Tribolium castaneum: one gene and its partner. Each later gene encodes a partner of the first gene's protein in a complex. Links are inferred from orthologs where the notes say so. Each region holds a gene or a part of one and is shown on either strand. Other genes may lie near its edges.

Evidence for each region. Proteins that work in one complex are often made in the same cells at the same time.
Region 2: the proteins of frtz (region 1) and fy are in contact, whole or in part, in a cryo-EM structure (PDB 7Q3D), measured with the Homo sapiens proteins. The link is inferred for Tribolium castaneum from reciprocal best matches to the Homo sapiens genes WDPCP and FUZ. Residues at the interface, in NP_056994.3 of Homo sapiens: Arg55, Ile57, Asn75, Lys78, Leu82, Glu418, Asp419, Arg420, Leu421; in NP_079405.2 of Homo sapiens: His293, Glu372, Glu373, Pro374, Arg379, Gln397, Pro399, Thr400, His401, Gly402, Ser405, Leu406.

Annotation. Positions count from the first base shown.
Region 1 is NC_087402.1:1,546,896-1,551,013, forward strand, and holds frtz (WD repeat-containing and planar cell polarity effector protein fritz), read right to left. Parts: upstream 2,856-4,118; 5' UTR 2,669-2,855; coding exon 2,586-2,668; intron 2,534-2,585; coding exon 2,398-2,533; intron 2,351-2,397; coding exon 440-2,350; 3' UTR 240-439; downstream 1-239. UniProt on the Homo sapiens protein: Probable effector of the planar cell polarity signaling pathway which regulates the septin cytoskeleton in both ciliogenesis and collective cell movements.
Region 2 is NC_087402.1:7,504,291-7,508,017, forward strand, and holds fy (protein fuzzy homolog), read left to right. Parts: upstream 1-1,292; 5' UTR 1,293-1,472; coding exon 1,473-1,550; intron 1,551-1,801; coding exon 1,802-1,923; intron 1,924-1,969; coding exon 1,970-2,117; intron 2,118-2,165; coding exon 2,166-2,291; intron 2,292-2,340; coding exon 2,341-2,538; intron 2,539-2,590; coding exon 2,591-3,160; 3' UTR 3,161-3,184; downstream 3,185-3,727. Other genes in the region: Pgant2 (polypeptide N-acetylgalactosaminyltransferase 2), read right to left, coding at 928-1,017; rod outer segment membrane protein 1-like, read right to left, coding at 3,186-3,359, 3,411-3,630. UniProt on the Homo sapiens protein: Probable planar cell polarity effector involved in cilium biogenesis. May regulate protein and membrane transport to the cilium.

The DNA of each region.
Region 1 (4,118 bases):
TGTATAAATGATTAAACGCCCTTTTTTATCAAAATGTTTGGCACGAGAAGTTCATTTTTGTGCCTATTTTCATTTCTACAACAAAAATAGCACTGACGTCGTTTATGTCTGCCCTTACGTATTCAGTAATAATTAGTAAAAAAGTGTCTCATTTTTCAAATAAAATGAGTGTTAAACAGGCGTTCACACACGTAATCTAGTGGTTCGTCCTTCTGTTGTGTTGAAAACAAATGCAATAATGTTGTAATAAAAATATTTATTTGCGAAAATACGAAGTTATAAAAAATAAAAAATCTACTCATTAATTAAATATACATATCAAATTTCGTTCCTCCACAGATAAAACATGTTAAATATATTTTAATACAATCTGGGGCTCCTTGGGTAATTTATTTGTACTTCTAACGGACGGAAACTGTCTTCAATTATTCTAAAAGAATTAAACAACCCCAAAATGCACCACTTTGATTTTGGGTTGCGCTTCCTCGCTCTCCCTCCTCCTCACAGGGTTAAAATCCTTCAAATAATCCTCATTTGGGTGACAAAGCGGCAAACTATCAGCCAACTCTTTCTGCGGATCGGTGAAATGTGGTGGCGGCGGCGGCCTCGCTGGCCGCTTAATCTCCGGCACGATAAACGCCGTCACCGTATCAGAAAACTTAACTTTCGGGGGCACCTTCTTAACCGCCCCCGTTGAGGGCAGCGGCGGCTTAAACACATTTCTGGGAATCCCCAAATTGGGCAACGGGGGCGCTTTAAAATTCGCCGGCACTTGCGGCGCCTTCACGAAAGTGGCTCTCGGGTAGGTCTTCGGTTGGGGGTTATTGAAGTTAGTTGTGAGGTAATTATCGGGGTTTTCGTCACTACTTCCCGAACATTGGGAGCACGAGGACCTGGTGCAGTTCGAGGCCTCGCTGGAGCAGCGACTCAGGAGGGCCGAGGCCTGGGCGCGGGCGGCAGCCGCCATCTCCGTCTCGCCGATTTGCACCGCGATGTAGTGCAAGTCCATGAAGAGGTCATGGTGCCCTAGGTCCACAGCCAAGAGGAAGGCGGTTTCGAACATTTGGGCGCGGACTAACTGGTGGAAAAAGCGACGAGTGAGCGAGAAAATTTGGGTGAAGAAGCGGGAACGGGTCTCGGGGTTCAGGGGCACCGGGGGGCTGTGGAAGCACCCGAGGGCGTCCTGGAGATACTTGGCGGTGTCGTCGGTCATTGGCTGGGAGAGTAAATAAGCGACGATTTTTTGCAACACGTGGAAACTTTCCTCGTTGAATTCCCAGCTTAGGAGAAGCCGAATGGCTTTATCAATTTTACCCATTTTTATGTAACGTTGTGAGAGAGATTTGAACGATAAAGACCGGTCAATGTGAGTGATGAGTAACATGGGGCCTTGCTCCAAAACCACGACTAAGTCTTTTGGGCCCCAACTCACCGAACTGATCGTAAATTGCGAATTGAAATAACCGGATAAGTCAATTAAAGCTGTTGGGGTGCAATCCTCCCCCATTATTTGTGACTTAACGCCGTTCAAAGCCGTGTCAAAATACTGCAATTGCCCCCTTTCATTCAAAACGGTCACAACAGCTCCCAGAGAATTCCAACGTGCGAACTTTGGTATAAACAACCCTTTAACCGTCCGAGTTGACCCCCTGACACGGTCCAATAACGCCAAAGACCCATCAATACAACCAATCAGGAGCCTAGTTTCCTGCTCATTTAAGGCACAGCAACTGACTTGTGTCTGAAGTGGGACCGAAATGACCGAAACCCGTTTCAAATTGGCCCCAACCAGCTCAAAATTGCTCAACTCGACTGAGACAGCCCCCCTGAGAGTCACCTTCTGTTCGATTACGAACAAAGTTCGGCGTATTGTCCGACTGACGATCACTTCAATGGGATCCCCGTCGGTTTTTTTGTACGCTAAGAGTTCAGGCCCCCGGACGCCCACCCAGTACAGGTGTAGATTAGCCCGTTGGTAGTCCTTGCCAAGGGGGCTCCAAGGCTGCGGGTGTTCGGCCTCGCATTTGCCCCAAACGGCAAGCCAGTCGTTGTGGAAGTTCAGGTGGCGTCGAGGGCCCCCTTCGACAATCCAGCCGTCTTTCCAGGAGCCCCCGAAGCCGAGCACGTGGCCGTCATTACAAATGCAGATGATTTGGGGGCCGAGGATAACACCGTCGCATAATATGTTGACTTGGAGTTTGGTGGCGAGGGATTTGTCGAAAGTGAGGCTTGTGAGGTCGCCTGTGGTGATGTCGATGGTGAGGGTGACGACCACCCCAGTTGAGAGCAGGAGTTGGAGGTGGTTGTCGGACCAAGAGAAACAGACGATTTTGTTGTGGAGGAGATACTCCTATTGAAAGAATGAGTGAGAGTGAAAGGGTGAGTGTGTGAGCTAACCTCGAGTTCTTTGAGACGGTCGCGGAGTTTTTGGGGACGTTTGTTGGGCAAGTGCCAGATGACACCTCGTTGGTCGCAGTACTTTTTTTTGCTTTGGTAGCAGAGGGAGTCGCTGGGATCTTTCTTAGAGTAGTATCTGGAATAAGGGTTTTTAGTTCGCTTTATGGGGTTGTGAGGGGTTTGGGTACTTGAATGATCCAAAATCTGGATGTTTTACGATGACGTCTTCTTGGGTGCTCCAGAAATGGATTTCGCTCAAAAGGGTCAACATTTTACGGCCGATTTTTGATTAAATAGTCACTTTTGCAAAATAAATGCTTCTTTTTGAGTCTCATCACTTCATTAATTCATAAATTAAAAAATTCGAACAATAATAATAATACCGATGTGTAAATTCCCCAAATCAGGGAATTTTGATTTATCACATCAGAGTAGCAAAGTGGTTTCAGTCTACATTTATTTATTATTAAGTGTGCTTGGCCCTATTGTAATTTAAATTTTACTTATGATTATCAAAGAAACATACCGTGAAAACGCAACATAAATTTTAAAAATTCAATTAAACTTCGTTGCATTTTATGTTAGCACACCTGGCTAACGCACTAATTTATAATCTGTCAAAGTGACAGGTAACCTCAAATTATTGGTGTTAAATTAACGAAATTTATTGTGAATATCGCTAATTTGGGGAGAGAACCGAAAAGACCTCCTATGAGGGATTTTGGGGTAAAAAAGACGGGTTAAAATCAGCCGTTTTATTTATTTGAATAAACTAAAGGTACAAATAAATGGTCATAACAATAATAAAATAAAATATGCGCAAACAAGTGTTAAGTTCGTTTGAAAATAAGGAAAAAGTCAAAAGCACACTAATAGTTTGTTAATGGAACACATTTGAACGAAAGTCTAACCTACTAAAAATGTAAATATGGAAAGTATGTCAGAAGACCTATTTTATAAAATTGGAAGACAGGCGCCAAAAAATATTGCCAGTAGTGATTACTGCAATAAAAGTACAAAACGATTTGGCACATAGAACCTTAAAAATACATACCAAAGCCAAGAATATTGGCAAAGCATAGAGTATTATTTACTAGATCAGGCAAAACTGGTATTGCTATAAGATATTTAGAATTCTCACATTCTAAACTAACAAAATCAAGTATCGCACTTATTCATTCAATTTCGGAAGACGGCCAAAAATACAATAAAACTCTTTTTGAAAAGTTGGAGAAATTGAATGATAAGAGTAATAGGAAAATAGCTTTGAAACGCACACACATTTTGAAACATTTATGATTGTTTCGGATCTTTATGTACAATAGGAAGAGCAGTATGTATCACGGGAAATAGAAAAAATATATTTACTCTACCCTACTTTCAATGATTATAAACTCAACTTGTAGCAATAGGAAAATTCTAGATGATTTTTTCTTATTCCCTATCACTGATACACGTTTATTGCTTTTCAATGAAATGACCAGATATCAAACACCAAAATGCCCCAACTCAGGATAAATACAGCGAATTTCAGCGCGGTGGAGCATCTAAGACAAATCAACAGCTTAAATATGGAAATAAATAAATAAAACAACAGAATTAGCTAAAATCAATATACATATAAATTACTTCCCCACTTAATGATTAGTTAGCCTACTTTGGTAACAGTGATAAAATTAATTCATTTAGATAAAATTTCAATCAGCGATAAAATCTTGCGG
Region 2 (3,727 bases), about 6.0 Mb from region 1:
TGCGTTGATGCAACTTTAATTAGCTACTAACTGTCCGAAATCAATTTGGAACTGCGTTTGTTCCTCGTCGTAAATGCTTTATTTCTGTAAATACTGTTAACTTGAATCTTTCGTCTCTTTGCAACTTAATTAACAAAATAAATCTAATTTTAATAGAAGTTCGGAAACCGAAAAAAGTTTCAACTGTAAGCAAAGAGAGTTCACGCTCCAAAAACTTCATTAAATTTTGCATAAAAGTATAATAAATCGTTCACACTAAACGTGGTTGAATAAGTTTCGTCTTAATTGTACGATATCTTTTTTGGCTGCATTTACTCGCTTCACTGAATCGAATTGTAAGATTCGGTCACACCATCTGCTACAACGATTCCCTTCAATCGAAATAATGGAAAGATTCTGTCTTTATTAAAACTGCGGCACTGATAACGATTCTTCATTCGCTTAATAGAGTCAATGTCGCGATGAAACCAATCCAATGCGCTAATAATAAATCTCTCACTTTCAGTTTCATCTTGTTCCAAAAAATTTAGATGGTAATGCCAAGGCTGCACATACTCGTCTCTTTTAAAGTTCACTATTATTACAATTCAACAGTTGTCGCCTCAGTTGCGTGGGCGTCTTAAAATCAATTATACCATCATTAGCAAAAAACTGAGCGTGCAATAATTTCGCAACAAAGTCGTTAGAAGATCGTGAAAGTGTCGCAACACCACTTTTTCACGGCTGAAAATTAGAACTCTCGTAATACAGTCGTCGGAGGGTTCGATAGGGCAAGTTGCGGTTTTTCTGACTCAGCAAGTCCCAAACAATGAAAAAGCGCTCCCCTCGCAGGCGGAATTCTCCCTTCGCCGCCACCAAAATTGCATCGTGCCGACGTTCAGGTTAAGTGAAAACGTGCTTTCGTAAACATATATTTGAAAAATTCACCTTCGAGTCTCCGGTGGTTTGCAAATAGTAAATAATAACAAACATCCATGCCATGGAGAAGAGCAGCAAAACCTTGACGTTCCTCCTCATGGTGTCGGCTTCTCGGTCACAGTGCACTCAGAGTGTCTTTGAGGACCATCAACACCTCCTCGCGTTACATCTACATCCGTTGCCGCCGCAATACTAAAATCGCGGCGACGTTCGACATCGTGTTTTTGCAGCTTCTCCTCGTGCTAGTGAGACTTTCAACCGCTCTCTTTTACTTTCACGCGGGACCGACAAGGACGGTCGATGCCAGCCCCGTCCTCGACGAGTCCGCACGGCGACGCTCTTCGTCTCCTGTTCAATAACCAGAGATTTGTCATGGTGGCCCACAGAGGGCGTCGACTCGCTTCAATCAAAACGCTCCACAGCGAAATTTACGGCCAATAATCGGCCAATTTCAGTGTTTTAAGCGCCTTTCAGGCCCGCAATCGCTGGGTCACCCGGATTTCCGGTGATGTATCAATGTTTACTTGTACAATATTTGCCCTAACCCATGAAAAATGTCGGCACATGTTGTTTGTGTCACCTCGGGGGGTGGTCTGCCCATATTTTCCAGGAAGAAAGGGAATACGGACAGTGTAAATATTCTTAGGTTATGTTGACACCTAACAACTATCTGCTTTCACACCGAATGCCTGATAGTCTTACAACAAATTAAGCTTAAAATATACTTATACTAACAATGACTGAATAAAAAGTACAAAACTAGCTTTTTACAATGTCTTATGTCTTGCCCTATCTAAGCACTTAACTTAACCCTTTCACTACCGATAATGCAGATTAGCAATTTCGGGGATGTCCAAAATTTATTGGCGCCATTTTGCCTTAGCTGCCCTTTTCAACCATTGGGTCCCTAAATGGGGTCCACATGTTTGGCAAATCGCAAAAAATCACCCTTCAAAATACGGTAACTGAAGACTACTCTTTAGCCTGGAAGGAGTACCACGACAGGTACTAATCACAACTACATTTTCTTTGTTTCAAATGGTACTTTCAGCTTGGTTTTGATAGGGATATCAAGTGGATGCACCATCGAGGTGCTCACCAAGACCCTCGACTCGATTTTCAACGCAATCGTGTTAATTGTCGGAATCGAGGAAATCAAGTCGCAGCGAAATATCGAACGGTTTAAGAGAGAATTGCGGGTAAAAACCGCCAACAAAAAGTTAGTTTGTCGTAAAATTTTGTTCCAGATTTGCTACCCTTTGATCGATCGCCTGCTGGATTCTTTAGACTGTGGCGATTCTGGCAGCAGACACTCGTCGGATTTAATCGGACTGGTGGAAACGATTTTATGTCCCGAAAACCACTTGATTCAGGTTTTTGCCGCTCGTTTAATCTACTCGGTAAACAGGAAAGTAATTCCAGATCGTTCTTGACTCGTTTACCGAATGCGTCGATTCCTTATTTAGCTGCGTCCTTATTCATGGCAAAATTGCGGCTGCGACCAACAGCTGGTGGTCGCTGCACCCAGAAGAGATCAAGCTTTTGGCCATTCTGGCCCAGAGCGAGAACACGTCGAGTTCGAAAGACATCCCCGTTTTCCTGCCATACAAAAGCCCAACCGTACGTGGGGTGATTTATTCGTTTCGGAAATAATGGGGGAATTTAATTTCAGGTGGCTTTTCGTTTCGTTTGCTGTACTTTAATTCCGGACATCCAGCTGTGTTGTCTCTGCGGCCCCACTCCCGTGCTCTCGGAGGTGGAATTTTCCGCGACTAATTGTTTCAAGAATTCCGCAGATATTTTAAGTTCCGCCATACAATGCCACCCGCGCAACTTCCACTCGACTTGTCACATCGACGGCGGGATTTTGGGTTTACTGTTGGTGAACACGACTTACGGCAAATACATGATTACGAGAAATCCGCATCAGAATAGTAATAAAAAGAACGCGAGCAGCTCGCATCGCTTGGATATTTTACGAACGTTTTTCTATCAATCGGTTTTAACGTTCCTTGTGCCGAGCGAGGACTCGAATGAAGATGCGGAAATTTCCAATAAAAGTGAAGCGAATGTGGGGCTTGAAACCTACTGGTGCTCGGAGTATCATAAATGCTTCGCAATGAAAATCAGGGATAATATTCTAGCGGTTTTATTCAACTCGTCGATTCCGACGTTCGCAATGCGACTGATTACGGAGAAAACTCTCAAGAATTTGATCTCAGATAAACAAATTTGTTGGTGATGGTTTAATATATTTTTTGCAATATCTAGTCTCTCAATTCCTGGGGTACGGGTGGCGGCGTTGGGGGTGGTTTATTGTTCTTAACTCTGCCAGTGTAACTCCCGAACAACCAAACGGTGTAAGAACGAGCTCGTCCCTGAAACCTACGGCTCTCAAAATGAGCCGTCTGTATTAACCTGAACAAAATTAGAGTCACAACCTGAAAAAAATTATAATAAAACAAGTTTGATTTTGACGGAGTCCTACATACCTCAAGGATAATATAGAGAATTAAATTACCCACAATAATCCATCCAACTGTTTGTTTTTTTTCGCGGATCATTTCGTAACATCCTCTCGTCGAAATGCTCAAATTAAATTCAGGAGTGTACAAATATGCTTTTCCTGTGACTTCGATATTGTGGTGGATACAGGGAGAAAGTGATTTCATAGAACAACAACTAAACGGTGTGTTACCATCAGCAGCAGAACTTAAAAACCAATTTACTAATTAACGATGTTTTTATAATTGTCGCTTTCTACGCTAGATTAGGATACGGGTGATAAATAAGTTTTAAACAAAGTACT